Oryza sativa Japonica Group: one gene and its partner. The main gene of each other region encodes a partner of the protein of the gene in region 2 in a complex. Links are inferred from orthologs where the notes say so. Each region holds a gene or a part of one and is shown on either strand. Other genes may lie near its edges.

What was found.
Region 1: protein STABILIZED1 (region 2) and zinc finger protein ZOP1 share a complex: the UniProt entries of both Arabidopsis thaliana proteins name them as parts of the pre-mRNA splicing complex. The link is inferred for Oryza sativa Japonica Group from reciprocal best matches to the Arabidopsis thaliana genes EMB2770 and AT1G49590.

The regions. Positions count from the first base shown.
Region 1 is NC_089040.1:6,025,135-6,029,528, reverse strand, and holds the start of zinc finger protein ZOP1, read left to right. Parts: upstream 1-1,319; 5' UTR 1,320-1,444; coding exon 1,445-1,453; intron 1,454-2,423; coding exon 2,424-2,624; intron 2,625-2,868; coding exon 2,869-2,950; intron 2,951-4,177; coding exon 4,178-4,273; intron 4,274-4,374; coding exon 4,375-4,394. Other genes in the region: dipeptidyl-peptidase 5, read left to right, coding at 1-19. UniProt on the Arabidopsis thaliana protein: Nucleic acid-binding protein that promotes Pol IV-dependent small interfering RNA (siRNA) accumulation, DNA methylation and transcriptional silencing.
Region 2 is NC_089044.1:19,704,053-19,708,642, forward strand, and holds the start of protein STABILIZED1, read right to left. Parts: upstream 2,902-4,590; 5' UTR 2,825-2,901; coding exon 1-2,824. UniProt on the Arabidopsis thaliana protein: Pre-mRNA splicing factor required for splicing and for the turnover of unstable transcripts. May be a U5 snRNP-associated protein involved in the formation of U4/U6-U5 tri-snRNP. Involved in responses to abiotic stresses.

The DNA of each region.
Region 1 (4,394 bases), on a different chromosome or scaffold from region 2:
GATCGAAAACTTTGACTGATCGCTCGAAGAAAGTGTAGCAGTAGCTTACATTTCGTGGAACATGACCTCTTACAGTTTGCATCTGTTTGAATTGTCCATGTACTCCGACTAAATGTTCATTAAAATCAATCAATGTTGGAGTCTGGGGCAATGGAATCGCATATTTGAGTTTCGGAAACTCCAGAAATCGCCCATATTAGGCAACAGGAGACACATCCATACCTAACTTTATTTTAATAGACCATTATTTCTTCTGAGACAAGAGTCATCTATAACACAAACATTCGGCCGGGTTTTTTTTTTTTTTTTTTTTTTTTGAGAAATAATAGCCTGGGATGGACTTGAGACAAGTTCGGAATGCAGGAAAATTTCTAATTAAACTGAAGTCTGCATGTTAGCTTAAATATAAGCCTTAGCCAAAATTTTAATTTTGATACTTGGTTTTGGAGTTCTTTCATCGTATTCTATTATCTAGCCTTAGCTTTTAAGTTGCCGAGAATAGATATAAAAGTTTTAACCAAACTCTAATTATTTGAAACAATTTTAGTTGCTCCGTTTATTAATCTAAGGCTTATTAGCTGTTGCTACTAAACTATCATCGCCTTTGTCCAAAATGCAGTTCGTGTACGAAGCGGACAGAAATCCGATTTTTTTTTTTTAAAAATAAATTTCATAGTATTGTAATTATTTGGTCAAAATTATTATTTTGCTATCTACAAAGCTACAATAATAGTGAATGATTTTATTAGAAAACTATAAAATTATATCGTTTTAGTGTATGTAACACGTGAACCCAATATACAACAACATGAGTATTCATATATGAGTATTCATATATGTATGATAGGTGGATCGAAACATTTTGAATTTTTTTTCCTAGTTGATTACATTTGTAGAAAAATAAAATAATATTTTTTACATAAAACAAACCTATTATCAAAATATATTAAATATTAGTTTTAATAAAACTAATTGGTGTTATAAAATTTATCAAACTTAAAAAAGTTTGACTAATTAAAAAAATCAAAATAACTTATAATATAAAATGGATGGAGTAGGATATAAAGTTGCAGCTTTCTAATAAATCATATGTTATTGTTGCAACTATCCGAAATGCTTGATTAAAATTGAGTTTCGATAAAAAAATAGTTGTTGTGTTTCTTTTTGTTTTCGAAATTTACTCGGAAGAAAAATCACGTGTTTAAACTTCAAACAAGGCATGAATTTGAATTATGAACGTCTGGAATCCGCAGCTTCTCCCCCTCTCCGGCGGGCCCACATCCCGCAGAAATACTCCTCACCCCAGCACCCTCTCCCCCGTCCCGTCTCCGACTGCGACCAAAAATCCCCCGCTCGCTTGGCCGCTCCGGCGATCCCCTCCCCCGGCAGCGGAGGCGAAGCTCACTGTCGCAATCGGCGCAGCTGAGCGGAGCCCTTGCCCGCCATGACGGAGGTACGCTCTCCCTTCTTCCTCCGCAATTTTCCGGCATCGCGCGTTGCCCTGTTGCCCTCCGCCGCCCGCTGTGGGGATTCGCGCATCGATCTGAACGAAACCACGGTGCTTTTTTCTCCTTTGGGGGGTTTCTCGGTGATGGTCGGCGTCTTCCGAGTGCGAGTTTATACAGGATTAGCTGATGTTTAGGGATTTTGCCTCTGTTAGTCACTTGGTCTCGTGGATTTCGATGAATTAGGGTTAGTTTCGTAATTCGTATGCTGCTTGTGCATGTCCCTGTGTGTTCGGATGCTATGGGAGAGTAGATAGAATATGCGGCTTGGTGAGGCTGGACTGAGGAAGATTTTGCCTCTGGACTGGAGTGATTCCATCTTCATATGGGTGCTTCAGTCATCTTATGTTTTTGTAGATTGAGATAGTTAACCAAATAGGGCTTTGATTCTTTTGGTAGGTTAATGGTATTTTTTAGTACTTGTTTGTATTCAACTGTAATTGAATTTGAAATGCTAAGTGGAGATTAGAGACTGAAAGTCCCAATGTGATGTATCATGGCAATATTATCAATTCTCTTTCTGAATAAATCAGGATACAAATGCCTATTGTGTTCGTTTATAGGAGAATAGTTAGTTGTTTTTTCCTTTCGAAAAAATTCGTGTCCAATCATTCATATGATCTATGTTATGCTCTTAAACTCTGTTGTTGCAAGCATCCAATCCTGCTAATTGACTTTTTGGCATCAATATTTTTTACCATTGCGAGAAAGAGATTATTTAGTCACTATCTGAAAAGGTGACAGTACAAGAAGCAACTGTAGTTTCCTTCTGGTAGGAATACAGGGTCCCTATTAGCCCTTTGAAAGTTATCTGCGATCATCTTCTTTGACATTTAAGTTGTTGTACACTGTCATCACAAGCATCCAACTTTGCAAGTGTTTTTGTTATAAATAACTTTTTCCCCTATCTTTTTCCAGTACTGGGTGAGCCAAGGAAACAAATGGTGTGACTTCTGTAAGATTTACATAGCTAATAACCCGCTAAGCATCAGAACACATGAAATCGGTAAGCGCCACAAGGACAATGTCACTAAAAGATTGGCAACCATGCAAAAGGAGGGTGCTGCCAAAGAAAAGGAGCAGCAGCAAGCAGCCCGGGCCCTCAAGCAAATAGAAGCTGTAAGTTTGTAATGCTGTTTTTTTCCCCAGTATGTTGGTATCCTAATCACCTAATGTACATATTGTTATGTCACAAACTACAGAGCTTGTGAAGGGTAAACACTTCTGCATTGATAAAACCATGTAGGCTTTTTCTTTTTGAATTTATCCTTTCCCTTATTGCTGTGTTGTTTCAATTTATCTTGCAATTGGTTGATTTATGAACTACCATGCCTTGTTATTTGTAACTTACTGTTCACTGCAGAAAGCTAAAAAGAGCTACCAAAAAGATTTAGAGAACAGTCAAAGGAATGTGGACGGTGACACTTCTGCGGCACCTGGAGATGGTGTGTATGGCTCACCGTTGTCTATCAATAGTGTTCTTCAATGCCTGATCCACTGCATAGCCTGTTTTCTTTTGTGCCATTAGTTATCTCTGCTTTGTATAAAAAAAAAATAGGCCTCCATATCTGATGAAGCTATCCCTAAGCGCTTTTATTTGCGAACCCTTTTGTTTAATCCTAAAATATAAAATGAGTCCTTTGGATGAGGTACTTTCTTTTTTTAGTAAATTAGTATGGAGTATTTCTTTCTGCAATTCCAATTATATCAATACTTTAATCCTATTTATTACTCCTGGAATTTTCTATTTATGGGGACAGATAATACCTCACCCTAGGAAGAGCCGTTTTGAAGGATGACTAATTTTTAGAGGATATATGCTTGCTATCTTCCTTCCCGTCCTTTGTTTAGGATAGTGAAAAATATTTTTTCCTTTTATTTTAGGAATTTTGGGAACATCCTACTTCTCTGTTATGCTTTTGTAGGATTTTTTTAGTTGATGGTTAGGTTAATTCACCAATCTTGAGAGGGTTTAGTTGGTCATGATTTCTGTTTTCTCTTTTTGTTCACTATTTTGAGCTTGTATTAACTTGTTGTATTAGTCTTATCTTCTTAATTTTTTCTCCTGCTGATTCTAGTTTTTGACATGCTTGAAATATATTCCAACCTAGCTCATGTAATACAATACCTTGGTTAGCAGAAATGTCTAACTACTGTCAATTTTCAAAGCCTAAAATTGTTTTATCTTAAATCCGTCCTTCAAACATATCTTTCTCTTGGCTCAAATGTATGGGAAAATATGTAACCTGGAAACTACTATAGGATGTAGAAATGAATGTTTGAGATTTGTCCATGTCATCATGAGTAAAACTTTTACTACCAAATTGAGCCGTGAGTAATACTTGCTCTGCTACTATGTTGACGATAAATTTTGCTAACAATTGCATTAATGTTAATGAAATGATGTTAGATTTTCATGAACTGTGCCCTAGCAGAATTATTCTGGTTAGTATGCTTAATACTCTTAAGTCTTTACTGATGATTATATGTCATTAAAGACAGGAGAACAGATGAACAGACCAGTTCCTACCTTTAACTGGAACACTGAGTAGCATGAACCATGATGCACTGTTTGCATATGTGCGCTGATCATTCTGTCCGCCAGCACTACTACAATTTTCGCTATTTAACAATATTTGTTCAATCTGTTAGATAACATCCTGTTTGTGCAGGATGGGAATTCGACTCTACTTCAGGATACTATTATGACAAATCTACTGGACTCTATTTTGACTCAAATTCTGGTTTCTACTATTCTGACGGTTTAGGTACTTCTCTTAACATGTGTATCTGGATCTTTAAGTGGTTATGTCATGCCTTTGAGGGAGCTGCTATTTCTCACTAATATTTATGCTTTCTTAATGAGCAGGTAAATGGGTCACTCAGGAA
Region 2 (4,590 bases):
AAAGTTTGGCCACAGCTGCAATGACATGGGGATCATGGTCACATCGTTTTATAGCATCTGAGCTCTTTGCTTTACGCTGGGGACGTGGCACCATCTCTATAGCTGCAGCCCACAAAATACCACTTGTCGGGCATTCCTGTAATGCCTTGGCTAGTAGAGCATCAGCTTCCTTCTTGTTCCCATGTCTCAATTCAGCCCTAACTGCTGCAAGCCAGAGTTCAGGTGTAGCTGGGTTCTTCTTTCTTGCCATGGTGAGGACAGCACGTGACTTGCTCAAGCCATTTATCTTCTCCTCTAGATTAGCTAGAGAGAGCCAAAGAGGGATGCAACTCGGGCAGTGCTTCAGTGCATTCTCGTAAACCTCCTTTGCCTTGGATCCATGGCCAAGCCGGTCTTCCATTTGTCCAAGCATTAACCACAGCTTGAAGAATGAGGGGAATAACTTCAGACCTTCCTCCAACAGCTTCCTTTCTTCGTCTACATTCCCTAACTCCCTTTCAACAATCGCAGATTTCATCCAGACCCTCTCAGTGCCTCCTCTTTCCCTGGCCTTTGACAAAAGAATTCTTGCTCTCTCTGGTTCATTGTTCTCAAACTCAAGCTTGAAGGCAGCTAGCCAGATCTCCTCTGAATTGGGGAGAGAAGCATAAGCTTCCTGAAGAATGGCTCGGGCAGCCGGGACATCTCCAGCCAGCCATTTCTCCTTTGCACTCATAAGCCATAAAACTTCTGCACGTGGATTGTAGGTAACAGCCTTTCTGAGGAGATTATAAAGAGACTCCTTGGTTCCATGGCTCTTCTCAAGCTGAGCCGCTTTCAGCCAAATACTCTTCTTGGAAACGAAGACACTGAGTGCATGCGCATAGATGGCACGGGCTGTCTCAATTGAACCACGCTTCTTGCATTCCTCAGCATCGGCAACCCATGTGCGTTTTCTGTCTTCCTCATCAACACCAATGCCAATAGTGCTCTTAACAATAGCCTGGCAAGTCAATACAGATCCAGCACGCTCAGCAGCTTCTGCTTCCTTTAGCCATGCCTCCCTGTCAATATCCAATCCTTCTCTCTGTAAAGTTTTTATACTTCTCTCAATCACCTTGATTACTGACTGGGTGTTTCCATTAGCTTCCTCCAGCTTTGCAGCTGTAATCCAGATGGCAGGTTCCTTAGGAAGCTTTTCTCTTGCCTTGTTAAGTACCTTCTTTGCTTGGTCATATGTCTCCAGCCTTGCTAGGGCAAGCCACAGTTCCACATGGAGTGGGCAGCACTCCACAGCCCTGTGAAGCAACAGTCTTGCATCCTCCTCATTTGCAAGCTCTACTACTGCTTTCCACAGTCTGACTGAATCAGGAATGTGTTCCAACCCTTTTCTCAAAACCCTGCTCTTATTCAAATCACTAGTTTCCAACTTTGCTGCCTGCAACCACAGCTTCACAGAATTGGGAATTGCCTTCACGCCCCTAGCAATCACTGCCTTTGCCTCGTCTGGGCTGGCCAGCCGGCATGCCTCGACCCAAACATCCTCATTTGTGGGGCACTCCTCACAGCCACGCTGGATAAGCTGCCGAGCAACCTGAAGCTTGCCAGCAACCTCTTCAAGCCTAGCAGCAGCAATCCATCCTGGTGGATGCTTCGGGTTTGTCTGTGTCACTGACTTAAGCAACAATCGCGCCTTTTTAATGTCAGAAATCTCAGCATCACTAGTAATCTTCATACTTTTCAGGTCCGTCAAGTAACCCTTTGGATCAACAACAGTAAGACCAGATACCGAATCCGACAACCTGTCCAGCTTCAAGGAGAGCACGGTGCCACGACCTTCGCCCACAGCCGTCAGATCGGTAACCGGAGTCTGCGCCCATGGCGTCTCGGTGCCACCAGCTGCACGGCTCTTGGGATCCAGTGCCGTGACATGCTCCTGCTCCTGCCGAGCCTTCTCGAGCAGGGTGTCCGGCACGGGAACGAAGCTCTCAAATCGCTTCTTCTTGTTGCGCAGCGAGTAGTCCCCAATTTCAGGTATGCTTTCCCACTCCTGCGCCGACAAATCGACCAACTTACGCTTCAAATCAGCGAATTGCTCGGTGATCTTAGGGTTGGAAGCACGGTACTTCTCGATCTCCTGCTTCAGCCGCGCCTCCCGCCGATCCTTCCGGCGAGAGTCCATCCTCTGGTCGATGCTCTCCCAGACCGCATCCGCCTCGCGGTCGTCGTCGTCGTAGTCGGCGTTGGAGAACAGCCCGGCGTCGTTGCCCTCGAACTCGTCGAACTTCTGGTTCTCGTCGTACCCCTTCTCCTCGTCGCCGCCATCGTCGTCGCCGTCGTCGTCCCCGGGTGGCTTCCCACGGCCGCGCCCGACGGCGGGGGCGGCGGCGGCGGCGGCGGACCGGTCAGGCAGATCGGGCGCCGCGCGGGCCGGCCCGATATCCGAACGGGTGGTGAACCCGGTGGCGCCACGCCCCAGACCGGCCACGTAGTTCGGGGGCGGCTTGGAGTTGAGGAAGTCGTAGCGCGCGGGGCGGGCGGGCGGCTGCGCCGACGGCGGCGGCGGGGGCGGGGGTGCCGCGGGGGTCGTCGTCGGGCCGGTCATCCCTCCGAGCAGGGGGAGGTGGAGTAGCAGGGAGGAGGAGGCCGAGACCCGGAGGGAGGACAGCAGCGGGGACGGCTCGGCCGGGAGGAGGCGGCGGTGGGCGAGGTAGAGCCGCAGCTGCTCCGGCGGGACGCCGCCGCAGACGCGGGAGGCGGAGGCCGTGAGGTCGGCGAGCGTGGCGGTGGAGGGGTCGAGGTCGACGTGGTGGGTCCTCCCGTCCGGCGCGCGGACGAACACCATCGCGGCGGCGGCGGCGGAGTAGATTGGTTTGGGTTTTTGAGGTCGTGAGGAAGAATACGGAATCGTGGAATTGGTTTAACTATTTTGTGACGGTTTGGGACCTTTGGGTGAATTGAGTCGGTGGCGAGGAGAGGCGGTGGGCTACGTGGGCCGTTCCATGGTGGGCTGATCACCTGCATATGGGCCGTACAAGGGCTCATGGGCCTGTTTGGCTCGTGTTTGGGCCCATCGCCTGACCTTCCCTTCTTTTGGGTTGGGTTTCTTTGGATTTATTTTTAAGATGGGCTTGTTGTTTTATCGACTTATTTGTTGCGAATAAAATCTTACCGTGCCGTATCATCAATTTCATAGGTCATGACTCTGCTGCATCTATTGGAAAAAAAACATATTTATATTGTATAAACAAAGAAAACATGCGTAGTTAGGATGGGCTATCGACGATCACGACAACAATGATAATAACCTAAATAGAGAGCTAGAGATTCTTATAAAGATTCTTATAAGACGCTTGTGATTAGTCGGCTGATGATAATCTGAAAGGGTTAAGTTTCAAGTTTCTAGCTCCAAGTTCATAATCTCAATTTTTATGTACATATATGTGCTAGCACACTACAATTTCTATATGTACATAAAAATCGAGACAATGATGTAATGAAAGTTGTGGCCTAGAGAGATATCATTTAAAGTAAAATGATGGAATAATACAATTTAATTAAAGATTCGATACATAAACAATTGATGAAATTTGTAACCGAGGGAGATAAATTTTAACTGAAATTGTCAAACTATAAATCTGACGAAAGATTCATTCAAATTCCCAAAAAGGCATACATTCACTCATTTTATCTGCCTTGGTGCCAAATTTAACGAAATTTATGTACCCAGTTTCAAATAAATAGACGACTATCCCCATTTTCTTACAAGTTACAATCCACCGCAAGACCACAACACCAAGATTACCCGCCTCCATGCCAATTTCAATGAAATTCGTGTATCCAATTTTAAATAGACAGACAACACTCTTTATTTCGTTACAAGTTAGTACATCTAGGTACTATACAAGAGTAATATTGGAGTGTGTAAAAAACTGCCGTAGATTTTTTAAGTGTAAAACTTCGAGATTAAATTATATTATAATTGAAGTATAGTTGTACTGTAACTGTATTGTAACTACGGTATAACTTATATAAAACATGTATTTAACCGTGGTTTGGCTGACTAGCACCGAGATCTTGCACATAACATGTATGATATTTTTGTAGCAATGTTATCTCTTGAATGTACAAATCTCCAGTAACCCGATGACCATAAATCTGAAAGTTTTGAGAGAAAAAGGGTGTGTTTAGTTCACGCTAAAATTAGAAGTTTGGTTGAAATTGAAACGATGTGACAGAAAAGTTAGAAGTTTGTATGTGTAGGAAAGTTTTGATGCGATGGAAAGTTAAAAATTTTTTTAAAAAAGTTTGGAACTAAACTCCACGGAACTTGCAAAAGTTTTCTAGCAATTTCGATCCAAAATTCAACGGAATTCGTACATACCCAGAGCTCACCACTCCCGAAACGCCACCAAAAGACCAAACCCACTCGTTTCCCCTCCCCCCCTCCCTCTGACTCTCTCCCCGTCGTCGTCATCGTCATCGTCGTTCGTCGTCGTCGTCTCCCCTTTCCACGGCCGCATCCCATTCCCCACCCAACCTGAAAGCGACGCCGCCGCAGCGCACACGCAGGAGGCAGCAGCAAAGCGAGGAGGGGAGGAAACCCTCCCC